Stegostoma tigrinum: one gene and its partner. The protein of the gene in region 2 purifies or fractionates together with the protein of the main gene of each other region. This does not show direct contact. Links are inferred from orthologs where the notes say so. Each region holds a gene or a part of one and is shown on either strand. Other genes may lie near its edges. The genes, in order: edc3 and pim1.

Region 1 (13,017 bases), on a different chromosome or scaffold from region 2:
AATAACTTTCATGTGGGGGGGGAAATGATTTGGGAATTAACAGGAGAATAAAAACATTTTATTGGAATTCTATCGGTGGAGATTGGGCTCTCACTTCACCTGGTTATATTAGGTATGCCCAAGCTTAAAGCCTGAATTTTATGGGGCTACACTTTTCACCCAAAGCTTTTCAAACACAGAATTCCGTTGAAAACCACTCTCAACGTAACTCTTCAAAACAGTCCCAACCCAACTAGCTTTATGTTTTAAAAAAGAAAATTTGTTGAAAAGACAGATATTCCTATTGTTGGCTTAGATAGCATATGTTCAAGTCCAGCACCTATCTTTTAACCCAAGAGCTGAGGAAGCCTACAGATCCCCATTGCTTTCTCGGTGGCAATATCTCAGCTAATCAAAGTTGAGTTGTCAACCTACCAATAGCCACGCTGCACTCTAAGAGAAACTGTTGCGATTGTTTGTAATTAGGCATCATTTCTGTCCTATTGCATACAAGATAAAGAATTTCCGATAGGATGATTCTAGATATATATGATCAAAGTACATTCTGCTGAGCATAAGACAGGGTAATGCAGACATACAGGCTTCAGTAAACACCAACAGACCTGTAGGAACTGGGAACAGTAATAACTAAACATATTTAAAATGACTTTAGAAGTGTAACATTACATAGTAATTGGTATTTTAGTCCCAATTATACCACCAGTTAAAGGTCTCATCATACTTCATGTACTTCAAAATTCTTACACATGCGGACTGCTCAGCGGACATAAACTCCTGACTGTCTCAAACGAGCACCACTTCAAACAAAATAAAACAGATGAAACAGCTTTCTCTTTTAACCCAAGAAGGAAGATTTCAAACTGGAAAACATTTGCTCAACAAATTATCAATAAATATTCCAGAAGCATACCTCTGAAATACGGTTTCAGCAACAAAAAGTCTAGTCCTCTTCAACCTGTCACCTTCCAAGCCTCAGAGAGATCTAAGGAGAACAATTATAAGCCCCAGCCAGGATGACTGAGACACTTTTGTAGGGACATTGCAACTTATAAATGCTCTCCAAAAATCATCCAAGTTTGATGACAAGATCACTGCTAAGTACCTTTGTTCAAGTATATGGTCAAGTACAAGCAGATTAGATGGCTGCAACTGGTTGACATTGAAGTCATTGAAATAACAAACACTTACCTAAATGTTAACTCGGGAACGGAACATTTCACTCCATTGCGGAATGGCTGTGTTAGAGAAATTGTCTGACTGGCTTGATCCACTGCAGAAATTTTTCCCTGATACACTCCAAGCGTCTCACCACAGTTAATAGAAACAAGGCTCCCAATCCAATTTACAGCCATCCTCTACAGCATAACTGAAAAAAGACAAGGAAACAGTTGTTATTCGTTTCATTCTTCATCAGCTTTAATTTCCAAATTAATCCTCAAAACTATCAGCAGTACTATAACCAGGCACTGCAGTCTGTGAATCTGTGTATAAGTAACGGTGCCATACAAAATACAGCAACTTTTTATTCCACTGCATTATCTATTTTTTGCTTTTTTTGTTGAAAACATGCCTTCAACATTTATCGTAAAATAGCTTGAAAGATGAAATGCACTGCAACATCTAACAGTCCAGCATAATAGTGGCTTTTATTTAATATTTCAAGTCCATGTTTCAATTATTTGAAATGGTTTTGTTTTTACTTCAGTAATTTAGCACATTTTTTGAAAATTCTTCTTCCAGCAACAACACTTAATTTATCAAAACAAAAACAGCTTCTCAACTGGTCAGAAAGTTTACATACTCTATAATAAAGAGATCTCATACACCTAAAAATTCCAAGATTTAATCTGCGATCTATGCTCAGTTAGTTAGTTCCTTCACACTGCAGGGACAAACACGCTGGATTTCCATCCCAACAGTATTGTGGGTCAACTGACAGTACAAGGACTGCAACTATTCAAGAAGGCAGCTTACCACCACCTTCTCAAGGGAAACTGGGGACAGGCAATAAGTGTTAGCCGGACAACAAGCTAATAATGCAGCCAAATAGCACTCTGCCACATTGCATCAAACCCTCATGAATAAATCGATACTTGAGTTGAATACTGAGACAATTTGAAAGCCAATGCTTTTAAGGAGAACATTTCTGAAAAGGCAAAGGAGAAAACCCAAAAACAATATTGCTTTTAACTTTTCATTTTAGTTCACTTCCAAAACTTAAGTGAACTAATAATTATCATGGCTCAGAACCATCAACACTCACCAAACGTTGCTGTTCTTATCCCACATTGTTTGTGTGAATATCAAAGAATATAGTTTCCTTTGGTTCCATACTAGGTATCACTCTGCAATCAAAATAAGCAGGCCACTAACCTATCCCCTTCACCGATCCTTCTTAGGCATTCATTCGAAATACAGCAAGACGTTCTTCCACTCCAATGTTGTGGTCCTGAAGTGACTAAACTGTTCACTGTCAGGTCTGCAAAATCTGTCACAAATGGGATGTTTAGCTTTTTGCCTCTTCAGTTGCCTGTGTTTAACCTCCACGTAGGACTGTCAGAGACACAGACTGATACCTGCACAGATGCTTCATCTACACAGGTTGGGCAGTCTTGAGCAAGCAATGCTCCATATGTCGATGGGAATATTGCAACTGATTTTTGTCCAGACATATCTGGAACATTAGCAGTCCAGTAATATTTTGGTCTATAAAACAACTGAATCAAAAAGCAATAAAGTGAACCATGCTACATGAGTGCTTGGCCTCCACAGTGCTGCTCTAATCTCTAGTGACTGCAGTTGGGAGCCTTTAAGTGTGCAGTTACATATCCAGTGTACAGCACTCTTAAATGCCTTGAACCACAAAAACATACTATTTTAAACTACTTTCTAGTAAACTGTTGCAACAAGTCATTTAAGTAAAATTAAACTGTGCACAATTAACATCCTACATTCTGAGAGTGTCACTGATCCCTCAAATTTTGGTAATCTTAATTACTGCAATCTCATTCAAATGTTGAGTAATTCATGTAATTGCAAAAGGAATTTTCAAATTTACAAAGATGCTCTGCACAAAACAGAATACCTGGCTCAACATTTGTCAAAATTGGTTAAAAAGTGAACACAACTCAAATATTAAATTTTTTGAAGTGTTCTGGGGAAATGGTTAAAAAACTTACTGCAAAATGTTCAATGGCATGCAATTTTATCAAAATATTACACCCCATCACTACCATGAGGCAAATTTGTAACACAAGGCACAGAAAGCAGGGCCACAGTTCCATACGCATGTCTGGAATGATTTATCAGTTTAAAAACAAACCAATATGAATTTTAAAACCATGCTTCAAAATCCAGAGTCAAAAACCATACAACCCATCTATTAAAAATGCTACTACCTACAAACAAGTCATTATGTCCCTGCTGAGAATCCATCAGTAAAGTATCACATTAGAAATTAGAACTCCTTAAAAATTTTATCTTTGAATTGAAATACTGGGTCAGTCTTAAGTCAACTACATTCTTGGCTTATAACATCCATTTTGTACAACAGCAAAACTCCAAAACTGGTAAAACTGCATACATCATACAAGTTTTATAATTTCAAGCTGAGAACACTATCAGCTAAAAACAGCATTCAGCATGGTAATTGTGGAATATATTGCCTGTTCCAACATTGAGCCTGCACACTCTCACTAAAGTGTAAGCACACAAATCCAAAAACGAGGATTCAAACACATGACTTTAAGCATTTATCTCTTCTCTCCAGCCACTACATCAACATAAGTGCAGCAGGGAGTTGTCTAGATTCACTTAGTTTTGAGGGCTTCTGGAATAGAGCAAAAAAGCAGAATGTGGCAGGTTGAGTGATGAACATTTGCAGTAGCTCTCTCCCAGACATCCACATACTTATAGCCATTGCTGTTTTCACAGAGAGACTATTATAGGGGAGGGGGACCGGTCGAAAACTTTTGGAGTGACAGAAGCACCAGTGCTATAGCATGAAAGAAGGCTGTAAATGGACAAACAAACCAACAAACTATAATTCTTTCCCTTGAGATACAGGCACCACTGGCAAGGCCAAACTTTACTGTGGATCCCTAATTGCTATTTCGCCAAGCGGATTGCTAGGCCATTTCTGAGGGTAGTTAAGAGTAAACCATATTATCTGTTCTGGAGAAGGATCATCAGTGCCAAAACATTAACTTTTTTTGTTTCTTCACAGATGTTGCCAGACCTATTGAACGTTTTCAGCATCTTCTGTTTTTGTTCCATATTGCTGTAGGTGCGGAGTATTACGTAAATCAAACCAGAGAAGGATGGCAAACCTATTTTCCTCATAAAACCAAGTGAATTTTTGAGAACATTGATTATGGTTGCCATGGACCCCATTGAGGTTAGCTTTAGATTCCAGGTTTGAATAACTGAACAGGTATTCCACCAGTCACTTGGATGGAATATAAAACCAAAGCCTCACAGCATCAGCCAGGCTTGCTGGATTACTAGCTCAGAGCGTCATTTTCACTATGCCTCCATAGTGTCTCCTCACCATCACCGAAGGACTAGGACTAGGCTGCAGCTGCAGCTGCAAAAAAGATGGACCGGACATTTGCTGCTGAATTAGACTGGAGTGGACGGTAGGCCCAATCCAACTTCCAGGCCTAACAGTATCCAAACTCCTCACCCACCCGCAGACCCAAAAAGAAAATACAAGCGTTTCCGGTTAGACACATCGCGATAAGCTCGGCAGGATCCCTTACGTCGTATCTAAAGAAGGGACGATGTGAAAATGAGCTGGCCAGCGAGTCACTAAGATTCAGCAACGACGGCAGACACACCACTCCGCCATCGCCAGTCCCACTTCTGCGCCTGCGCGGGCCGCGCACTGACATCACACCCTCCTAGCAACCAGTCTTCACTTCCGGCCCTCCTCTCCCTCCCATAGCAACGGGGAGACAATCTCCATCCTAGGGAGATCTGCTGAATGTCAGCAGCCCTGCTCTTCTTAACGAAAATCGGTTAGTAATCAAAATATTACCGAATGAACCTGCTCAGAGGTGTCTGCTTATTGTACACTTCTGGAGGAATTTGAACCAGGGTTTCCGAGCTTTGAGGCAGGGACATTACCACTGCACCACAAGAGTCCGTAGGGTCTAGCTAGCATCTCCCAATCACCAGACCACACCGATTGATCAGTCTGTAGATATCTTGTAATCATCTTGATTAGAGATGTTAGTGTACACCTCTGAAGCAGGTAGAACTTGAGTCCAGGTCTCCTGGCTCAGAAGTAGGGTTTCAACGACTGCGCCCCGAGACCCTTTGCTTAGTAATCAATTCTTAATTACTATTAATCATTCAAGACGCTCATTCTTCATTTGATGACTTCCAGCCCTTTAAGGGGTCTATAGCAACGCTGTGACTCAACGAAAGTTGCCCTACAGATACTTTAATTTTAAGTTCACATATGTATCTTCACAATTATGAAAGTCACAATGTTTAGTCAATTCAGGCTAGAGAATGTCTTTTTAATGTAGTAGAATGTTATGAGCAGTAAAAAAACTGATAAATTGTGTTTGGAAGTGTGTTTAAATGCTGAGTCAAGGAGATAAATTTTAAGCAGCATTGTAAAGAGGAGGGAGATGCAGTAAGTTTTGGGTTGAGAATTCCAGAACTTAAAACCCACGTTCCTGAAGAGGAAACAATATTGTCAACAATATAATAACTTAAAAATTGGGAATGCAAAAAAAAACCAACATTTGGGAAAGCGCAGTGATCTTGGAGGATTGTAAAGCAAGCATGATGTTAAAATTACAGACTTATTTGGAATGCATGTAGGATATATGGCAAGAAATATGGCAAGCTACTGACATTAACAGGCACCAACAAGGCTCCTTTCCAAAGAGTGAAGCAAAGCTTTTTAAACCATGACATCTCAAAACTATTTTAAAGAAGGGAAATTGATAACTTACTTGAGAAAAATGAATGTTGAAAGATAAGGGGAGTGATTTCAAGAGTGTGATTAGACTGTATGTCTCGCAGAGAGAAAACATTGGCATTGATTCGACAATTTCTGATATGATGTTGTGATAAAGATTTTTTCAGTTGGATCTTCTCTAACAGTGAGTCAATAATGCTAGAGAGGGCATCATTAAAACCTCCAAGATTACAAAAAAATGACTCAAATATGTAGTAAATAAAGAAGGAAAGACATTTACATCATGCTTTCCATGACCGCCAGACATCTCAAAGCATATCTCACACTGTGAAATACTTCTGAAGTGTGGTTCCTGTTTTGATGTAAGAAATAAGACAGCCAGTTTGCACACAGCAAGATCTCACAAACAGCAAGGTGACAAAGGCCAGATAGCCCTGTTAACATGATGTTGATTGAAGGATAAATATCAGCCAGCATGTCAAGAACAAACCTCTTGTTCCTCCATAGAATAATTCAATGGATTAGTTTACATTCACCCAAACAGATAGGCCTGTCCTCAGTTTACCTGAAAAACAAACCCTCAATCAGCACAATTTAACCTAGAACTGCAGTGGACTAAGGGGCATGAGTTTTGTATGTCAACCCTGGAGTGAGACTTGAACCAGATCCTTGTGGTACCATCTAATGAAATTAGAATTGAGTCGCTTGAGTTGTGGTTAAAAACAGAAACAGCTGGAAATGCTCAACTGATCTTGTAGTATCTGTTGTGAGAGAAACAGATTTTGTTTTGATTCAGATGTGATTCTTTTGTTGAGCTGAAGGAAGCTGGAAATGTTATGGGCTAAGTGCCACTGAAATGTCAGATGGAGAGGATGAGCAAAAGCAAAGGAGAATTTAAATAACAAAGATGTTATGAAACAAAGCCAAAGAGCAAATTAATGGATATGGTGAAGAACCAAAGCATTAATCCAGCCTGAATGGAAGAATAATAAGCAGCTCTGACCAAGAGCAAAAGCGCAGAAACAATAACAGCACATGGCAAAAAAAATGAAAATCAGGATGGAGGGACAGTGCTCATGGTCTGAAATTGTTGAACTCAATATCCAGTTCAAAAGCCTGTAAAAAGTGCCAAATCAGAAGATGAGATGTTTCTCGAGCTCCACTGGCAAAAGACTGATATATTAACAAGATCAAATAAGTTTTCAAGAAAGCAGAAGCTTGTGGGCTGAGGCAGAGGCATTCCACAAAATGGTCACTCATTCTGCATTTGGCTCCTTGGTGTTAAACGTACCACAATACAGGTAGTAAATATAACATACTAAATTAAAAGTAGTACAGGTAAATTGTTGCAGCACCTTGAAAGAGCTTGGACAATGATTGCAGGTGGCGGGGTGGGACTGTGGGTAAGGGGAAGGTGTTACACCTCTTGTGACTGTTTGAGTATTTGCCACGGGAGAGATAATGGCTATGATGTGAAGATCAGTGTGTTTCAACAAAAAAATGTCCCTTTGAAGTACGCAGGAGAGGGAGCATACAGTGGTGTTACTGTAGTAGAAGTGACAAAAATTTTGAGGGTCAAATTTACAGGTTTCAATACCACATGTGACTGAAGTTAAATTTGGATGAGGCTTTAAAAGCAAGACATTATAACAAAGGAATTTCAGGTTGATGAAATTGATCCAATTGACTTGTCTGTTTCTGTGCTGTAAGTCCTATATAATTCGATGTAAGGACTCTTAAGAGAGTGGAGGAACGCAGGAGATCCAAGTTGAATAGAGATTAGCCTATTTAGGAAAGGATTCTGGCTGCAAAATGCAATAAAAGGCCATTTTCATTCTGGGTTTGTATGCAGAGGAGCATAAAATGTAAGAAGAAAGTGATACTAAATTAGTGCAAGGCGATAATTAGCTTGCAGCTGGAGTATTGTGATTGGAAGAACATCAGAATCACAAATGGCTACAGAATGATGAGAAACAAGAAATTATAATTACAGAGCAAGCTTTGAAACAGTGGATTTTTCCCCCAAAAGAGTGAAGATTAACTGCAATGTAATGGGTTTTCATAAGTATAAATAGTCTTGATGTGGCAAGTAGTGAAATATTGTTTCAACTGGATCATGAATTAATAACAAGGGAGTACATACTCAACCCTGCCATTGCGAGAACAAAATTAAAAGTTAAAAGAAACATTTTCACAGTCATTAGACCATGGAATACTTTGCAAGACGGGGTTATTGAGGTACTGTTGATAATATAAAAGGAACTTGGCTAAATATTTGAAAAGAGAAGATTACAGAAGGTCCAGTGGAAATGGTAAGAACATTGTGTTTTGACTTGATGGTTCCAGTATGACAGAAACATAAATGCTAATGTTAAAGATGCACTATAATTTCTATATGAGTCATGAACATCAAATCACTTTGAAGCATATTACTGTAATAATTATCTTGTGCTAAGCGAAGGTAAATAGGATTGGTGATAAATAACCAGATAATCAGTACCACTAGTGGTAGAAGTTAATGAAAGTATGTTATCCAGGAGACCTCCTTTTTAAAAGAAACACCATGGAATCACAGTGGATTATGCAGAACAGGGATCTGTTTAACATTTTGTCTGAAGGATGGCACCTCTAACAGTGTAGCGCAGCCTTAGCTCTGTTTTAGGTTTTTAGCCTGGATGAGGAGTTCAAAGCCACAACTTCAGAATTAGGGTCATTGGGATATAAAGCACGGAAACAGACCCTTCAGTTCAACTCGTCCATGCCAACCAGTTTTCCTAAATTAACCTAGTCCCATTTGCCAGCATTTGGCCCATGTCCCTCTAAACTCTTCCAATACACATACCCATCCAAAAGCCTTTTCAGCCTCCACCAATTCCTCTGACAGCTCGTTCCATACACAAACCACCCTCTATGTGAAAACGTTGCTCTTCAGGTCCTTTGTAATGCTTTCCCCTCTCATCTTAAACTTATGCCCTCTAGTTTTGGACTCTCCTACATTGAGAAAAAGATCTGACTATTCTCCCTATCCATGCCCCTCATGATTTTATAAACTTCTATAAGGTCACCCCTCAGCCTCCGATGCTCCATGGAAAATAGCCCCAGCCTATTCAGCCTCTCCCTTTAGTTCAAACGTCCAAGCCTGGCAACATCCTTGTAATTCTTATCTGAACCCTTTCAAGTTTCGCAGCTCTTTCCCATAAATAGGAGACCTGAATCAAATGCTGTATTCCAAAAGTGGCCTAACTAATGTCCTGTGCAGCCGCAACCTGACCTCCCGACTCCTTTACGCAATGCAGTGACCAATAAAGGCAAGCATACCAAATGCCTTCTTCACTACACTGTCTACCTGCGACTGCACTTTCAAGGAACTATGAACCTGCACGCTAAGGTCACTTTATAAACACTATTTTTAATATTTCAACTAAGCTGAGACTTATAATTTATTACATCAAACATTAACAATTTAATGTCAAGTATAACTAATTTGTTAACAAAGTAATGTCAATATAACTAATTTGTCAGACAATCGATTGTTCCATGTCTTCTGATAGTTACATTTCTATCCGTTGCTGAAACTCTTACCCATTCTCTTGTTTTCTCCAAACTGAGTGCGTCAATACCATCCTAGCAGGTCACCCATAAAGATAAGAATATCCAAAGCTCTGTTGCTCCTTTCATAACCCATTCTGTCTTCTATTCATCTACCATACTTTTGCATGCTGGCTTGGACTGTCTCCCATTCGCCAACATTGATTTTCCTGTTTAAATCCCAGGCCTTCCTATCTCTATAACTTTCTAGCTCTACAGACCAGTAATATGGTTCATCACCATGTTTCTTCAACTTCGGGCTGTTCTGAATCAGCCGATTCCTACCAACCCATCGCTTATGGACATGCCTTTAGCAGTTTTCGCACAAAGTTCTGGAACTTTCTCCTTAAGCTTTGGTTTCTCTACCTCCATCTTCTTCAAAACCCTCCTTAAATCTACCAAACCTTTAGTCAGCTAATCTAATATCTCCTTTTAATTTGGTGCTAGTTTTTGTCTAGCTGCACTGATAAAAGCCCAATATATATTAAGTAGTTATATTGTTTTCATCATCTCTGTTGTTCAAGCTTAGATATCCTCTACTGTGCCTTAAACAACAGCAAAAGAATGGGTTTCTTATTTGGTCTGTGCTGATGAACTAACCACGCCAGACTTTGTTTCTCTGGTCCTGTGCAGGATAATGGGTAACAAGAGTCTGCCACACATCTACTGTAATCTCATCCACATGATGCCCCACACTTGTTTTATTTTTGCCACGTCTTCTTTAGCCAGCCCCATCTTTCCCCCTCCTTGTGAAGTCCATTCAGTTGCCACTCTGGCAAGGTGTACATCTGGGAGGAAAAAAACATGTTCTGCTAGTCACAGTGATCTCTCCATCTTGTTACACTGTAGGCACAGGACAAGTGTTACAGTCCTGTGTAACACTTATTCGTTAGCGATGTCATCAACCCAAGTGATGCCTAAGATCTTACATATGCAACCTTGATAGATGACATCCAATTTATGTGACACCTTTGCTGTTCTCTTTCAGGCCTCACTGGCATGGATTGCAGTTGGTACCACAGTGAGCATGTAGAATCACAGCTTATTAGCCATATTGATGGTGCTCAACACCAACACCATATGCGATCATTGGAAGACCAGTGTTGTTTTGCCATGTTGGAGATGTTGCTTCCTAGGTAGGGGAGGTGATCCATCTGCTGAATATTCTTTTGGCCTATGGCGATGGTAGAGTTGGCTTTTTGCCATCCAGTCATTGTTGTCTTGGTCTTCTAACAGCTGACAGTGTAAACCAACATTAGCACATCTATACTCAGTACTTGTGTTCATGTCTAGGAAGTATGAATCTTCAGCCAGCAAGGCATTGTTGTCTGCTAGTCTGCAGTCTGGACCACCATGGTCTTTGTCTTGATGAAAATCAATAACCAAAAGGAATAAGAATGAGAAAAGAATATACAGCCTTTCTGTAGTCCTGTGGTGATTTTGTAGGAGTCTACAGCTAGTGTTGTGTAATAAGGCTTTGAGAACATTAATTATCCATTACTGGGTACAATACTGTGTTGTGATACACCAGAGTGACTACTGATGGATGCTTAAAGACGTGTTGAAATTAATTAACTTGATGACATGTGGCTTCTGATACTCTGGGCTCTGTTCTTTAATGTTCCTGAGGGTAAAGATCTGCTTGCGATAAGAAGTATCACCCTATGAACTGTCCTGTATTTCACAAAAAATTCAGCCATGGTTCCAAATCTGGTGCAATGACCTCAACAGAACAACATGTTTAAGAATGCTTAAATTACCTAACCTATGCATGCATCAGCCTATGTCAGCGCTTATCCATCACTTGAGCTTCCTCCAACCTTTCCTCATCTAAAAACACCACTGAACAATCTATTTCCTTCTCCTCATATCTTTAACCTTGTTTCCCCTTTATGTATTTAAACTATTTACATCAACTACTCCAACTACAGTTCCAAATTCTCACCCTCTGGATAAAGATATTTCTTCCAATCCCTTATTGGATACCTTGGTGGCTATACTGTGTTGATAAAATATAAAATACTCTTCCACTCTATATATCCATTCTGTCAAAGTCATCATAATTTTACAAACCTAGATATAGGTCTGTCAAATCATTTTGTAACATGCCTTCAGTGTATGTATGGATTAGATATCCTTTATAACCAAGTATACTACTGACGCTCATTGTCAAGGCTCATTTATGAATATTCAATGTAAACTTTCAAGTCAAGGAAAGAAAAAATTGATGAGGTGCAACGAGGAAGAGAAAAACTGTCCAATTTTTGATCTACTCCAAAGTACAACATGTGCTTGTTTAGGTTCATGATTTTTCTTATCATAAAATTTCATTAATATATTTCACTGGCTTTGATTTTCTTTTTGCACCTCAGTGTACATCAATTATTACTTCTTTATTTGTTCTCTCTCCGAAGGCAGGTTCAACGCATTGCCATGACCTCCATCATGTATAGAGCAAAGAGTCAAAATTGCCACTGACCAACCCCCCACTATCCCCTAGCTGCATCCACCTCTCACCACTGACCCTTCCCACTGACCAATCTCCACTATCCCCAAGCTGCATCCACCTCTCACCATCCCACCTACCTTCCCCCAGCCTCATGCCTCCTTCCTCTATTTATTTACCAGCTTCCTACCCCCCTCCCCAGTCCTGATGAAGGTCTCAGACCTAAACATCAACTTTCCTGCTCCTCTAATGCCGCCTGACTTGCTGTGTTCCTCCAGCTCCACACTGTATTACCTTCTGGATCCACGGCCATTACTATCAAGAAGGAGAAGGGCAACACAAACATGGCAACATGACCACCTTCAAGTTCCCCTCCAAGCCTCTCATCATCCTGACTTGGAAACGTGTCACTGCTCCTTCAATGTCATTGAGTCAAAATTCTTAACTCCCAAATGGTTTTGTGGATGTACCAGTACAGAATGGACTGCAGTGGTTCAAGGCAGCTCAGCACCATCTACTAAAGGGAAACTTGGGATGGGCAATAAATGCTGAATACCACATCACATGAATAGAATTTTTTAAAATTTGACGTCACTTTCTTGAAGTTGTAGATCTTGCACTAAGAAGCAGAACCACTTTAATGATTCAGGCTTACTCCCATGAAAATGGCCTTCTAAAAAACTATAAAGTGTGTACTAAGAACTTCTGTGTGTAAAATCTACCAGCAACCTCCCAGTGCCTCTAATAAAAATTCACTGAACTTCCCCTGCTACGCAATCACTTTTACTTTTTTAGTTCACTGCAAGGTCAGGCCTATCTCTTAAAGTGGTAGGTCACAGAAAAATGAAAGCTTGATTTAAGGATGAATTTCTCTGCATTGATTTATAGAATATAATCCTTTCCATTCAAGAAACTACAGGTACTGATTTTGTTGAAACACACTGTTGGGAATGCCTTCAGCAGCTAATATAGCATGGAATGGAAAAATGAAGGATTTAGATGTAAAAAAGATAAAAAGTAGATTGCATCGAGGATTTCTGTGACCAAT
Region 2 (12,327 bases):
GGCCATGCTAATTGTTCACAATGTCTAGGGATGCCTACATTAGGTGGATTAGCCATGGCTAATTCAGTGTTGCAGGGAAGAGGGTGGGGGACTGAATCTGGGCATGAGACTCTTTGGAGGACTGATGCAGACTCGATGGGCCAAATGGCCGCCATCTTGCACTGTAGGGGCTCTAAAATCAGGAGGCAACTAGTTTCACAATTTCATATATAACTCTTGAATATGTACTCAAATACGACAAAGTAAATTAAGGCAAATTTTGTTTTATTTGAAATGCTGTATAAAAATAAGTTTCTTCCATTCTAGTTTAATTTACAGGTCTAATCAAATAACAATTCAAACTTCAAGCTGCTTACATGCACCCAAACTAGTGTAAAGATATTGTATATACAAAAAAAAATTTTTGAGCTGGTAGCTATTTCAACCCATACCAGTCCACAGGACACATTAAAAAAGTCACAAACCCCCCCCCCCCCCCCCAAAAAAAACAAGTCTAGACATTAAATACATTTTCGGTTCAACATGCATTTAACAGAAGTGCTCTATATTATATTTACAAAGTCTGGAATTCTTTTCAGTGACATCACTGTTTTCTTTTGGCTGTAAACAGAGTGAACTGAACTAAAGTCTGACGTGATCTTATGAAAATCTGTGGGCCCCATTCTGAACAAATAATTAATAATCGTGGAATGAACAAGTCTGTTGGAAGGTAGTTGTCCAAAAATAAATAAAAATAAATTAACCCACAAGTCAAACCTTTTTATATAATAAATCTGTTTAAAAAAAAACCTCAACTTCACTCAAATAAATAAACAGGTAAACAGGACAGCTGACTTAGGCTGCAATAACCAGTATTTCAACAAAAAAAAACAGGAATTTACACTTTCTATACATATATATTTACATATAATACACACGTACATATATACATACACATATACAAATGGTTAGAGTTCATTCATTGCATTGGTTGTGCATTGATGATGATGCTCTGACATGCCGTGGCTTCATATTCATATTGAGTGTATTGAATAAGTAAGCTGAATGAAGAAGAGTTGAGGTTGACTCTTTTCTGATTAGTGGTGATCTTCAGGTGACAAGGGTTCTCTTCAGTTATTTTATTGGAAGGCTGTAAACAAAATAGTAGCTAGACTAGACCAGTCCCTGTGTGTGTTATGTATGAAGATTGTGCGAAGGAAAGTCAAGTTATTCAGAAGCAGCAGAAGTTCAAGTATTTCTTTTCTAAGTTAGTGGATCCAGCGTTCATAAAAAAAGGCACTCGAAGAGGAAGAGCCAGGCTTGTCGTAATGCATGATTCAAGTTAATGACAACCGACGCTTGCAAAGGAGAGGATTCTGGTTCTTCATCACCCCTCCCACTAATCAGTAGATTTAAAAGGCCATGGAATCTGGTGAGTGAAACCAGGCGAGTTATTTGGTTCTTCGGAAGGAAGGCAGAGACAGTTCAGTTTTGTGACCATCGGTTCACATTATTTCACAAGTTCTAATTTACTTGAGCTAATGTTGGGTGACTCTTGGCTCAGACTGTGTAATCTTAGTCCAATGGTATCTTGTGAAACAATGCTGTTCTGCATCCAGGGATGGTTAATCATGTCTTCAAATGAGGGTCGATCTGAAGGCCTCAAGGATAGACAGAACTTGATGAGATTTTGACATTCTGAAAGCAAGAAGGAAATCGTGGATTATAAACAGTGTTGAGTTTCTGATTATACTTTCCATACATGTAACAGTTTGTCAACTCAGCAGACAGATATAAAGTAGTAACTATGGTGTGTAACCCAGTTGAGATTTTTGTGGCAGTCTAATATAAGCAGATAAATACTTTAGTGATAACGATACATACCACTGACATATTAATTGTATGTACAAAACATCATTAAAAGTCACAGTGCATTTGACTGTGGTAAGTACCTGACAAATTCCATGAAACTATTTAAAGCAATGATGATTGACTAAATTTACACAGTATAGAGGATGGAGATCTTCTAGAAATATTTCAATTTCCCTCCATTCAGATGGGAGGTAGGAAAAGCTGCTTACCAGATGAAATTCTCCGCCGGAACAGCACCTGTCCTCGAATTATCTCTTCGTCCTGCTCAAACGGAATGTCCCCACATACCATGTCATACAGAAGCACTCCAAGGGACCAAACTGTGGCAGATCTGCCGTGATATCTGTGATGGCGAATCCACTCTGGTGGGCTGTACACTCTGGTGCCTACAAATCAACACAAAGATCCACATTTATGAAACCATTCCCGGTATTCCTTTATGCTGTTAAAATGCAAACGTACAAATTCAGGGCCGAAGCAAACTACTGAAGCCCGCTCTGGCTTTCAATAAGATCACAACTGATCTGATTATTGCACATTCCTCCATGGACTTAAAGTAATAAAATAATAACAAAGCTTAAAAATAAGTCCAGTACAGATTTCTGTAGTTGCATTTTATGGGAACCAAGCTGCACACAAGGTCAAAACATTTCACATTTGATTCGAGCAACTTGTTATTGGCAGACAGAAGATAAAGCGTTTGCCATATTTCTTGTAAACAAAAGAGTGCGCTGAGCTCTTGAAATTCAAATCATCTACACTATCTCGTTCCGCCCTTAGCTTGCAGGAAATGTGGTTAACCTGAAGCTTCCTGCTTGCCCTGCCGTGAACTGGCAGTTATTGACTCGTTGCCATGTGATTTTTTTGTTTACAAACTTTCAGTTGTAAAAAGCACACGCTCCCGCCTGCCGGTGGCGCCAAACACTCAAAATTTTCACTAACGGTTTTCTTTTATTTTTGGTTGTTCTTCGGAGACGAGTTTAATGTTTGAAAATAGGCAATGGGCTGCGCCGTCACCTCTGCGGGGCGCAGCCCCAAAGCTGCACCTTTACAACAGCCAGCTTCAAGCATTAAAGCTAAGATGCATGAGAAGCGATTTTTAAAAAATAATTTTACACATAAATACTATTTTTTAAATAAAAGTCAGTGCTGTCTTAATTTGGAAAATGGACGTTAATAAGTTACGTACACAGATTAAATCACATGGCACAAAAGGGACCATTAAAAATGCTGTTCTGAAATGTCAATGGTTTGGTTTTAAACTGCTTCTTGGTTTTCGCAGTTAAAAGAACAGCCTCCCCACGTCTTTTCAGAGGGTTTATTCCACTCCAGCCCTGACATTGAGCTAACTTAATAATTTATCAATCGGCCACTTGATATCAACAAGAGAGTAACCTATTTCCCGTCACCATAGCCCCAGGTAACATGATTATCGGGTTTCAAAACAATTCCATGACGAAACTTGGGGGAAGAGCTGAAAATGTGGGCAACATTTGTAATTTAAAAAAAACACAGAAGAGGCACAAGATAAATAAAAACAAGATTCACCTCGGCTCCAGTGTAAAAAAAACCTGATTATTTGCATCAGTTTCCAAATAGGAAAGAAAAGGAAAACAGCGTTACACAGGAGGAAAGCAATCTCCAAAACAAAAGGGTGGCACATTGCCAGAAACTCAGCCAACGACGGCAGCAAACACTGGGAACAACAACAGGAGGGAGACACGCCGTCTACAGGCTACATTACAAACCCCGAGACGGACGGACATCACCTCTCCTCTTCCCAACATCTGGCAGAGGGAGACTCCGTCCTGTCTGTCTGCTGTAGCCCCAGCCTAAGCCCACTCCTCCCTCCCCTCTTTGATCCACCCAAGCCCTGGATCACTGAGAGAGATAACACAAAACAAAAACAAATCAATCATTTCATTTTATTTTTTCCAAAAAACAGAGGCAAAATAACCCTGCAAATGCCCCCTTCCCCAAGCTCTTGTAAACACTGCCCATAAATATCACGACTCGAAATTTCTCAGCCTGTTATGATTCAGCCTCTTGTATCTGGGTAATAGTTTTATGTGGGCGGGTGGGTTTTTTGTTTCTGGCGCTCGGCAATTCCCACCACCTCCCCATTAATTACGCATCCATCCCTCGTGATTTGATGTTACCTTAAGAGCCCCCTGCCTCTGGCCGCCCATTGCAGCGAGACAGTGTTTGCGCTGCACTCTTTCGATCAACGCTACGCCTCTGACAAGCAGGCGCCCCGTCGCAGCCACATCACCATCCAAATAAGGAAATAAAGCCATCAAAACAATAACAAAACGGCTTGTTACTACCGCGCAAAAAAATCTCACTATGACAAATGGATTCCAAATCCAATCACCTCAAAATAACTCTTTCCAAAACTAAAGTCTAAATATGTAATTTATTAAGTCATTTCGGAATGCTGAATCTCATTTAACACTAGCCTCTGGTATCTTAACGCAACAGGACTGACTGGACTAATTAAGCTTATTTTTAATGGTGGAAATTCCCCTTTGTAGTAATATTGCTCACCATCAAAATCAGTGTAGACGGTATCCTTTAACAGAGCCCCCGAGCCAAAATCGATGAGTTTGAGCTCCCCGGTCCTCATATCAATCAGGATATTCTCGTCCTTGATATCTCGGTGAACCACTCCGCAGTTATGACAGTGTCTCACCGCCTCCAGGATCTGGCGGAAAAAGTTTTTAGCCAAGTCCTCCGGTAGGGCTCCCTTCTCGGTGATAAAATCAAACAAGTCCTTAACGTGCTCAGGTCTCTCCATGACGATGATGAAGCTGTCGGGTCTCTCGAACCAGTCCAGCATTTTGATTACACCCCGACAGCCCGTGCCCACCCTCTTCAGAAGCGCTATCTCCATGGGAACCCTTGCTCCATTAGACTGCAGGGAGAACACACACAAAAAATAAACCCAATGAAACACCAAGCAATCACTCCGCATCCCAACCCACAACTTCATGTATCGCTTACTTCCCGCCTCAATGTAAATAGTTAAATACATCTGTCAAAATAGGATTTCATTTTAAAAAGGACTTGATACTGTGATTACAAAGGCATACAAAAAGGCACGAGTTTCGCATTTTACTTACCAGTTCAGCCCATTCTGACACCCGATCTCTAGCAACGTGTTTGATCGCAACCTGCAATATAAACAGAAAGGTCCATTCAGTCACCGAATCCAGCGAGTCGTCTATGAAAAAGGTATTTTTTGGAGGGGGGTGGTGGTTGTTCAGAAGGATTTGCACAAAGTTTGGGGAGATAAAACAGAGAGGGAAACGCAGACTTCAAAACATAGTTACCTGCACGCCATCAGCAACTCGAACCCCAGAATAAACAGTCCCAAATCCACCACTACCGAGGACAGATCCAACTTGGTAAATCTTTTCAAAAGGCTCTTTCACTGGAAGAACAGAAAGGAGGGAGAAAAGATTAGCCCATCTTCACTATCACGAAATCGGCGCCTCTTTTGTTGTCTCCGAGCTCCACATGGTTAACGATAACACCGTTACAACACAAAACCCCTTTCACAGTGAGACAGGGAGGCTCCGTAAACACGTAGGAAATGTTAAACAGATACCTTGTTGCAACTGAATTTTCGCCGGCATATCCACGTTTGATGTCGAGTACATATGAGTGAAGGATCCGATCTTTGAAAGCAGCATCCCCCTCTGGAAAACCTCGACTGCAGACTCGGTTATCACTTCCAAGGTTCCGAGTGGGATTTCACCAAAAAGGGAGTAGAGAGGGTAAGGGGGTGGGGGGGAAGCCGGCAAATTTCACCCACACCACGTTGCGAAGAAACACACAGCTGCGATCCTACAAATGTTTCCCTTATTCCAAAGCGTCTGTTTCTCCCAGTGTCCCGGGCAGATGATTAAGTCCCTTTCGAGCAGGAAATCAGTTCTTTTGGATGAGGAAGGAAAATGTAAAAGGGGGCGGGTGATGGGGGTGGAGAAAAGGATCAGAGCCGCGTCTTTGTATCACGCTGATTCCCCGGCTTTACTTGGAGTGCGTTCTGTTAGTAGCAACCACTATATACAGATAGTAAAAAAAAGGGCGAGCCGTACACCATCAGCAAACCTCAGAGGAACTGCCCACTTTGAAATACGTCAGGCAATCCAATAGGAGGGTAGCAATGATCTGCCTATCACAGAGCGAAAAAAATAAAAGAATGAAACTGACTAGACTCGACGTGGCGGGAATGACTACGCGCCAAAAAATGCCTCTTGCATGTCTGCTTACAAATAGCTTTGATCCACTGGCTGTAGACAAATATTTTTAAAGGGGAGCGACAATGGCGTTTTTTTTTTCCTTTCCGCGGGAGTAGCCACTGCAGTTTTGCAGGCAATACATTTGGCAGGAGCGAACCGAGTAGTTCAAAAAATGCAGAGGCGTGTTTTGAGCTGAACTATGCAGATCCTTACCGTGAATGCATTGTTCTAGTGTAGTGGGCGATTTCACAACATATTGTCTTAAAATGTTATACTCGAAAATCTCCAGTGCACAAAAATGCTCCTCCCATTTTATAACTTTCCCGATTAATAAGGTTTTATTTGTATTTAAAGTCATGTTGTACAATATACAGAGGTGTTTCCGCCAAGTATGTTGCAAGGTTAATTCCATTGTGGATGTCTAACACCGCTACATTTGAAAGAGGGAATTATTTAATTTGACCTCACAACTGACGATTATCGGAAAGGCAGAATGCGCAAGTGCCCAGGAAATGTTACTGCGGGCCTTTTTGTATTCATTGCGATCTTTGCTGTACTTTATATTTTAAAATAGCTTGATTTCTATATTAATTTTCAATAAAAACAATCTGCTGTACACACGTTAGAGTTAATTATCACCTAAAGGGGGCGTGCACAATTGGTGACAAAAATAAACACTAATCAAGAATTACATCCAATTGTGCTCAAAATAAATGAATCAGAATATTAGAACTCTTTAAGGTTAATCAGTGTGCAATATTATGCAAAATGTAATGTTTAAATGTATTTCGAATTCGCAACCACAATTACAGGTAGTTTAAATTTTTGATTTTTTTTGTTGCAAACATGTGGCCACCCGTTATTCAGCTACCATTTATGCAAGGTGCATGTTAGCAACAGTGCTTCTAAAGTCACTTCCATTTATTTTTCATGCATTTGTGCATGAAAACTGGATAGGATGAAAGGAAAGATTTTTGCAGTGATAATTAATGGGTGTGGACAAAATAGTTCGGACTCTGTTATTTCCCGCCCGATCGTAAACTGCGAACATCAATGTAGATATGGTCTTTTACTGATGCCAAATTAATTGTTATTCATCTGGCCAGGCGAAACCCTTCAGGTTTGGGGCTTAATTTTAGATTTCAGGGAGAATGAGTTAATGAGTTTTGCAATGAGATGAATAATTTCTGGGAAAACCGCAGGGCGATACAAATCTGCTCTGAATGGTGCCAGTGAGAAGATGCTGCATTCCTGACATAGTTTCGAATTGGGTGGCCGCCGCCTTTCAGCATGTGGGAATGAATCACAAAAAGCTGCCTTTTTTTTCCCCCGAGATCAGGTACAAGTTAGAGCAAGCGAAACTGTAACATAGCCAGTGTTAGTCGATGGAGGTCGCTGCTCAAAACATGAAAGCTTCTTTTTTGCAACGCATCACATCTCAGGAATTTCCTCACTGTTTTTGCTTCCAAGGGTGTACTGAAATGATTACAACTTGAAAGTTCAGATTCAAATCCTATTGGGTGGAGTTTGATAACTGTGAATCAAAACAAAACCGAAATTTGAACTGTTGTGGAGAGCTGTGCGAAGGGCGTTAAAGAGATTTTTAAAAAATGTTATTTACATTTTCTTCTGTTCCTCTCATGCTCACTCTGGGTCACATACCATGTCCGAGCCGTGTAAGGTCACGCAGGAGATTTTGCTTCCAGCCTATCTCCAATATCACTTTTGACCCAGATACCTGGTGGTACACAAGAATAGCCAGGCTTCGGGTGACTGGCTCTGTAATCTTGCTTACCATCCCCGGGAACTGACTCTCCTCTGTGTAGGAAACTGAATGTTTCCTTCGATCGGGACCACCAGATTCTTTTTAGATGTACGGAGAAAGTGGCATCGACTCACCATAGGACCACCCCGTACCCAGGCTGCCAGATAACAAGGGGAACAAAGTAGAAATTTGTTGCTGTGCCACCCACCACAGCTTTGTTAGCTGCTTGTCGTGTTGACAATGGAATGCAATTCCCACAATAAATTCGTGCAAAAGAAGATTTGTGTGGTATTTTTATAATGATAGCCACAATTACTTTTGAAGTAAATCCAAATTAAGCAAGATTTAAACGATTAAGGCAGAGTAGCTGCTCAATTTCTAAAAGTGTTAGTTTAATGTTAATTGGAGCAACATCTGTGAACTGACACATTGACACTACTAACTCTCGCCTGTTCTTGGTTACCCCAGCTGCAGATGCACGCCAAACTGCCAACAAAAAGTCAGCTGTATTACTACCTCATGGGCACTGATGTTTTGGAACTAAATTAAAGCCATCTCAGAATTGAATCACTAATGAGGAAATCTTATTCAGAATAAATTATTAAACTGAAGATCTCTGTAATCAATAATCAAACTAAAAGAAATACCTAGTCCATAGTCAGCACAATAGAATTCAATATTAGATATGATGAGGACCACAACCACATTTTAAATCGATGTAAGAAGGCTGACTTTGCAGCTGGGGCAAAAATTGATCATCACCGACGGGAAGAATGATTAAACATAACACAACATTAGATGTAAACAGTGGGAGGTGTTCAAAAATAACCCACAACCATCTGTGATTTAACAATTTTGAAGAACAAGAGAAATGAGAGACAGTACAAAGTTGAAAGAAAGGGAATGTAAGGACAGCAAAGACATGTTGAGAACATTTTATTAATTACTTTGACTAAGAGACAGAATACTGTATCCAAGTTTTCTGTTGATATAAAATGAGATATAAGGAGGATACAAACAGGCTGCCTAGAGTGATACAGACAGGTTAAATGATTGGGCAACATGATGGCAGATGAAGTAGGTTGCGGGAAAACTCTGAGCTTATTCACTGTGGTCGCAAGAAAACAGAATATTTTTAAAATCATGTAACTTGCACATGCTGATGTTCAGATAGACTTTGGTGTATTCACACGAGGAACACAGAAAGTTAGCATGCATTTACAACAAGCAATTGGAAATGCAATTAGCGCATTAGACTTTATTGCAAAGGGGCTGGAGTGCAAGAAAAAGAAAATATTACTATAATTGTACAGTATTGGGTTTTTGTGAGACTACAGCAGGATGAGCAGTAGTTTCAGGGTTGAATATTTATCTCAATGTGCATGATGTTGGTATGGAATCTTGCTGTATTTCACTACAGAAAACACAAATGTTCTCTCCCCCCTGGATCAGGCACTATTTTTGGCTATTGCATTTTAATTTCATGGATTAGGTAGGCTTTGAGTTGTGACTCCTGAAATTGAGCCACATCATAAATTTGAACTTCCTCTGTCCACTGTACTGGTATACCATTGATGGTTGTGGAAGGCTGAAAATAAACCATACCTTGTTGGAGAGTTCCAACTGGGAAGCCTGTCCAATCAGAAATATTCTTAGAGGCAAGTGTTAAGTAATTTGACAACTTAAAATGTTACTGTCAGATGCTGTATTGCAATATACAGCATTTTAATTCAGTGATTCATCATAGGGTTCTGTCCTGAAAAGATATGTTGACCATTACACTGATGAGCATTATTTAAGTGCTGGAAGCAACAGAGAACATTTTCACTGGAGAAAATGACATAATCTATTTAAAACTGCATACCAATGGGCAGGCAAAACACCTGTCATGTTTTGTGCTGTGATTTAAGTTCAGAAGATATTGAAAAAATTCACTGCTGTTGAAAGTAAACAAAATAAGCACCTGTTCTGATCCAAATGAGCATCAGAGGAGCAGGAAGGCTGAGGTTTCGGAAGGGTCTAGGCCCGAAACATCAGCCTTCCTGCTCCTATGATGCTGCTTGGCCTGCTGTGTTCACCCAGTTCGACACCTTGTTATCTCAGATTCTCCAGCATCTGCAGGTCCTACTATCACCTGTTCTGATCCATTGACTGAAGGGTATTTTGCTTTCAAGTGGAAATTAAACAACACCTACAGTTTTTTTAAAAAGTAGCCTATTCTTGTAATTTCAATGGGCAATGTTGATTACAATTCTCAGGGTTGGCTAAAATCCTATTTATTTGTTTTGAATGCTTAGCTGAATTTCAACAATTCCAGGACCATTTACAGTAGGCTGTCTGTGGGGGTGTTCGCATTTTGATTGACCATTTTAAAGGGTTATTAAAGGATAGTAGCATTAATGTAGTGTATATATATTAAATGGATATCGTAAATGATATAATAAACATATATGATATAATAAGTGTTTGTATTTACAATAATTTATGTAAGTGAGGGGATATCTTAACTTATTTAAGAATCATTTCACTATGATGTGTCTTTGAGTGTGGGATCTACAGTGTTAGAAGTTAGTAAGTTTTTAATATTCATTTCAAAACATCCTGAATGTCTACATAGAGATATAGGGTCATAGACCTGTACAGCATGGAAACAGACCCTTCGGTCCAACTTGTCCATGCCAACCAGACGTCCTAAATAAATATAGCCAAAATTGCCAGCATTTACCCCATATCCCTCTAAACCGTTCCTATTCATACACCCATCCAGATGTCTTTATTTAACGTACCAGCCTCCACCACCTAATCTGGTAATTCATTCCATATGTACAGCATCCTCTGTGTGAAATAGTTGCCCCTTAGTCCCTTTTAAATCTTTCCCCTATCGTCTTAAAACTATGTCCTTCAGTTTTGGACTTTCCCACCCCCGGGAAAAGACCTTGGCTAAGGCTTCTGTGTAATCCAAGAAAGAGGAAAAATTGTGACTGTAAGAGTTGTTTCATTTTTTGAGGGATTTTCAGTGTTGGAGCTGATTTCCTCAAATTCTAGGAGCAGTAATTATTATTATATTAGCTGTTGCATTGTTTTGGAACTTTGTGAAAAAAGATCAAAACAATGGCATTTTAAAAGAGAGGAAGAGAGATCAAAGGTAGAGAACACATGGGAAGTGACAATTACAACATTTAAAACACATCTGGATGGGTATATGTATAGGAACGGTTGGGAGGGATATGTGCCAAATGCTGCCAAATGGGACTAGATTGATTTAGGATATCTGATCGGCATGGACGAATTGGAGCAAAGAGTCTGTTTCTGTGACCGTGAATCTATTCACCTTATCCATGCCCCTCATGATTTTGTAAACCTCTATTAGGTCACTCCTCACTCTGTGATGCTACAGGGAAAATAGCCCCAACCTATTCAGCCTCTCCCTATAGCTCAAACCCTCCAACCCTGGCAACATCCTTGCAAATCTTTTCTGAACCCTTTCAAGTTTCACAACATCCTTCCTACAGCAAAGAGTCCAAAATTCAATACTGTAACTACATGTAGTAGATACTACATTCGTGGCTATGCAGAATGGAGGGGGAACGGGGAGGCATGAAAAATACGTGAGAATTGATGGGTGTGAGGCTTAGGAATATAAGAAAAATGTTGTGTGAGATATGTTGTTGTCCCTAAGAACTGAGAAGCGCTTCTAATCGGCCTACGTCAGCATCTGCTTTCCTCCCTCACTTTTCTTGCATTGCCTCACAGCTTGCAAAACCTGAGCCTTCCCTGTCCACGTCCCTTGGAAATGAAATTATGTTGAGAATATGGATCAAATGCCACAAAAAAAGGACGAAACTAGCTTTTTTTTCCTGTACAACATGAAAATCCAGTCCTTGGTCTCCATATTTAAAGTAGGATATAATGCCTTGCAGGCAACGCAGCAATATATTACTAAATTAATTCGCAGAATGAGGATTGGCCTGTGATAGTGGCTGAATATGTTGGGCCTTCAATTGCTTGAGTTTAGAAAATGAGACATAATCTTTTTAATGAACAAGATTGTGAGAGCCATAACAGGATAGACACTGACAGAAAGTTTCCCATTGCTGGAGAACTGGAGAATATTTGTAGAAATTGTAGGAGAACAACCTCAGAATAAGAGAAGGCAATCATTTAGGACTGAGATGAAGAAAACCTTCATTGGTCAATGATAGTTTGTAATGTGAATTGTTGTCTAGCCCAGGTGGTTGTAGATGCTCCACTGTTAATTATACTCACGTCTGAGAAAAGCAGCTTTCTGACATTGTAGAGAGTCAAAAGCTGCGGACAGTGTATAGGAAAGTGGAGTAGAGGCAGAAGATTAGCTGTAATTGTATTGAATGGCAGAGAAGACTTGAGAGGCTGCATGATCTATGCTATGGAGCTTTATGAAACTTGGGAGCGTTGGCAGTGAGGTGAATGGGAATAGTGGGATCAAAG

The links.
Region 1: the proteins of pim1 (region 2) and edc3 purify together in Homo sapiens (affinity purification with mass spectrometry; 3 studies listed by BioGRID and IntAct, counting the BioPlex papers as one, with this or other methods). This does not show direct contact. The link is inferred for Stegostoma tigrinum from reciprocal best matches to the Homo sapiens genes PIM1 and EDC3.

The regions. Positions count from the first base shown.
Region 1 is NC_081389.1:17,319,758-17,332,774, forward strand, and holds the start of edc3 (enhancer of mRNA-decapping protein 3), read right to left. Parts: upstream 4,873-13,017; 5' UTR 4,761-4,872; intron 1,367-4,760; 5' UTR 1,353-1,366; coding exon 1,189-1,352; intron 1-1,188. UniProt on the Homo sapiens protein: Binds single-stranded RNA. Involved in the process of mRNA degradation and in the positive regulation of mRNA decapping. May play a role in spermiogenesis and oogenesis.
Region 2 is NC_081374.1:24,523,935-24,536,261, reverse strand, and holds pim1 (serine/threonine-protein kinase pim-1), read right to left. Parts: upstream 5,924-12,327; 5' UTR 5,547-5,923; coding exon 5,462-5,546; intron 5,285-5,461; coding exon 5,184-5,284; intron 5,025-5,183; coding exon 4,974-5,024; intron 4,766-4,973; coding exon 4,399-4,765; intron 2,238-4,398; coding exon 2,061-2,237; intron 1,678-2,060; coding exon 1,490-1,677; 3' UTR 248-1,489; downstream 1-247. UniProt on the Homo sapiens protein: Proto-oncogene with serine/threonine kinase activity involved in cell survival and cell proliferation and thus providing a selective advantage in tumorigenesis.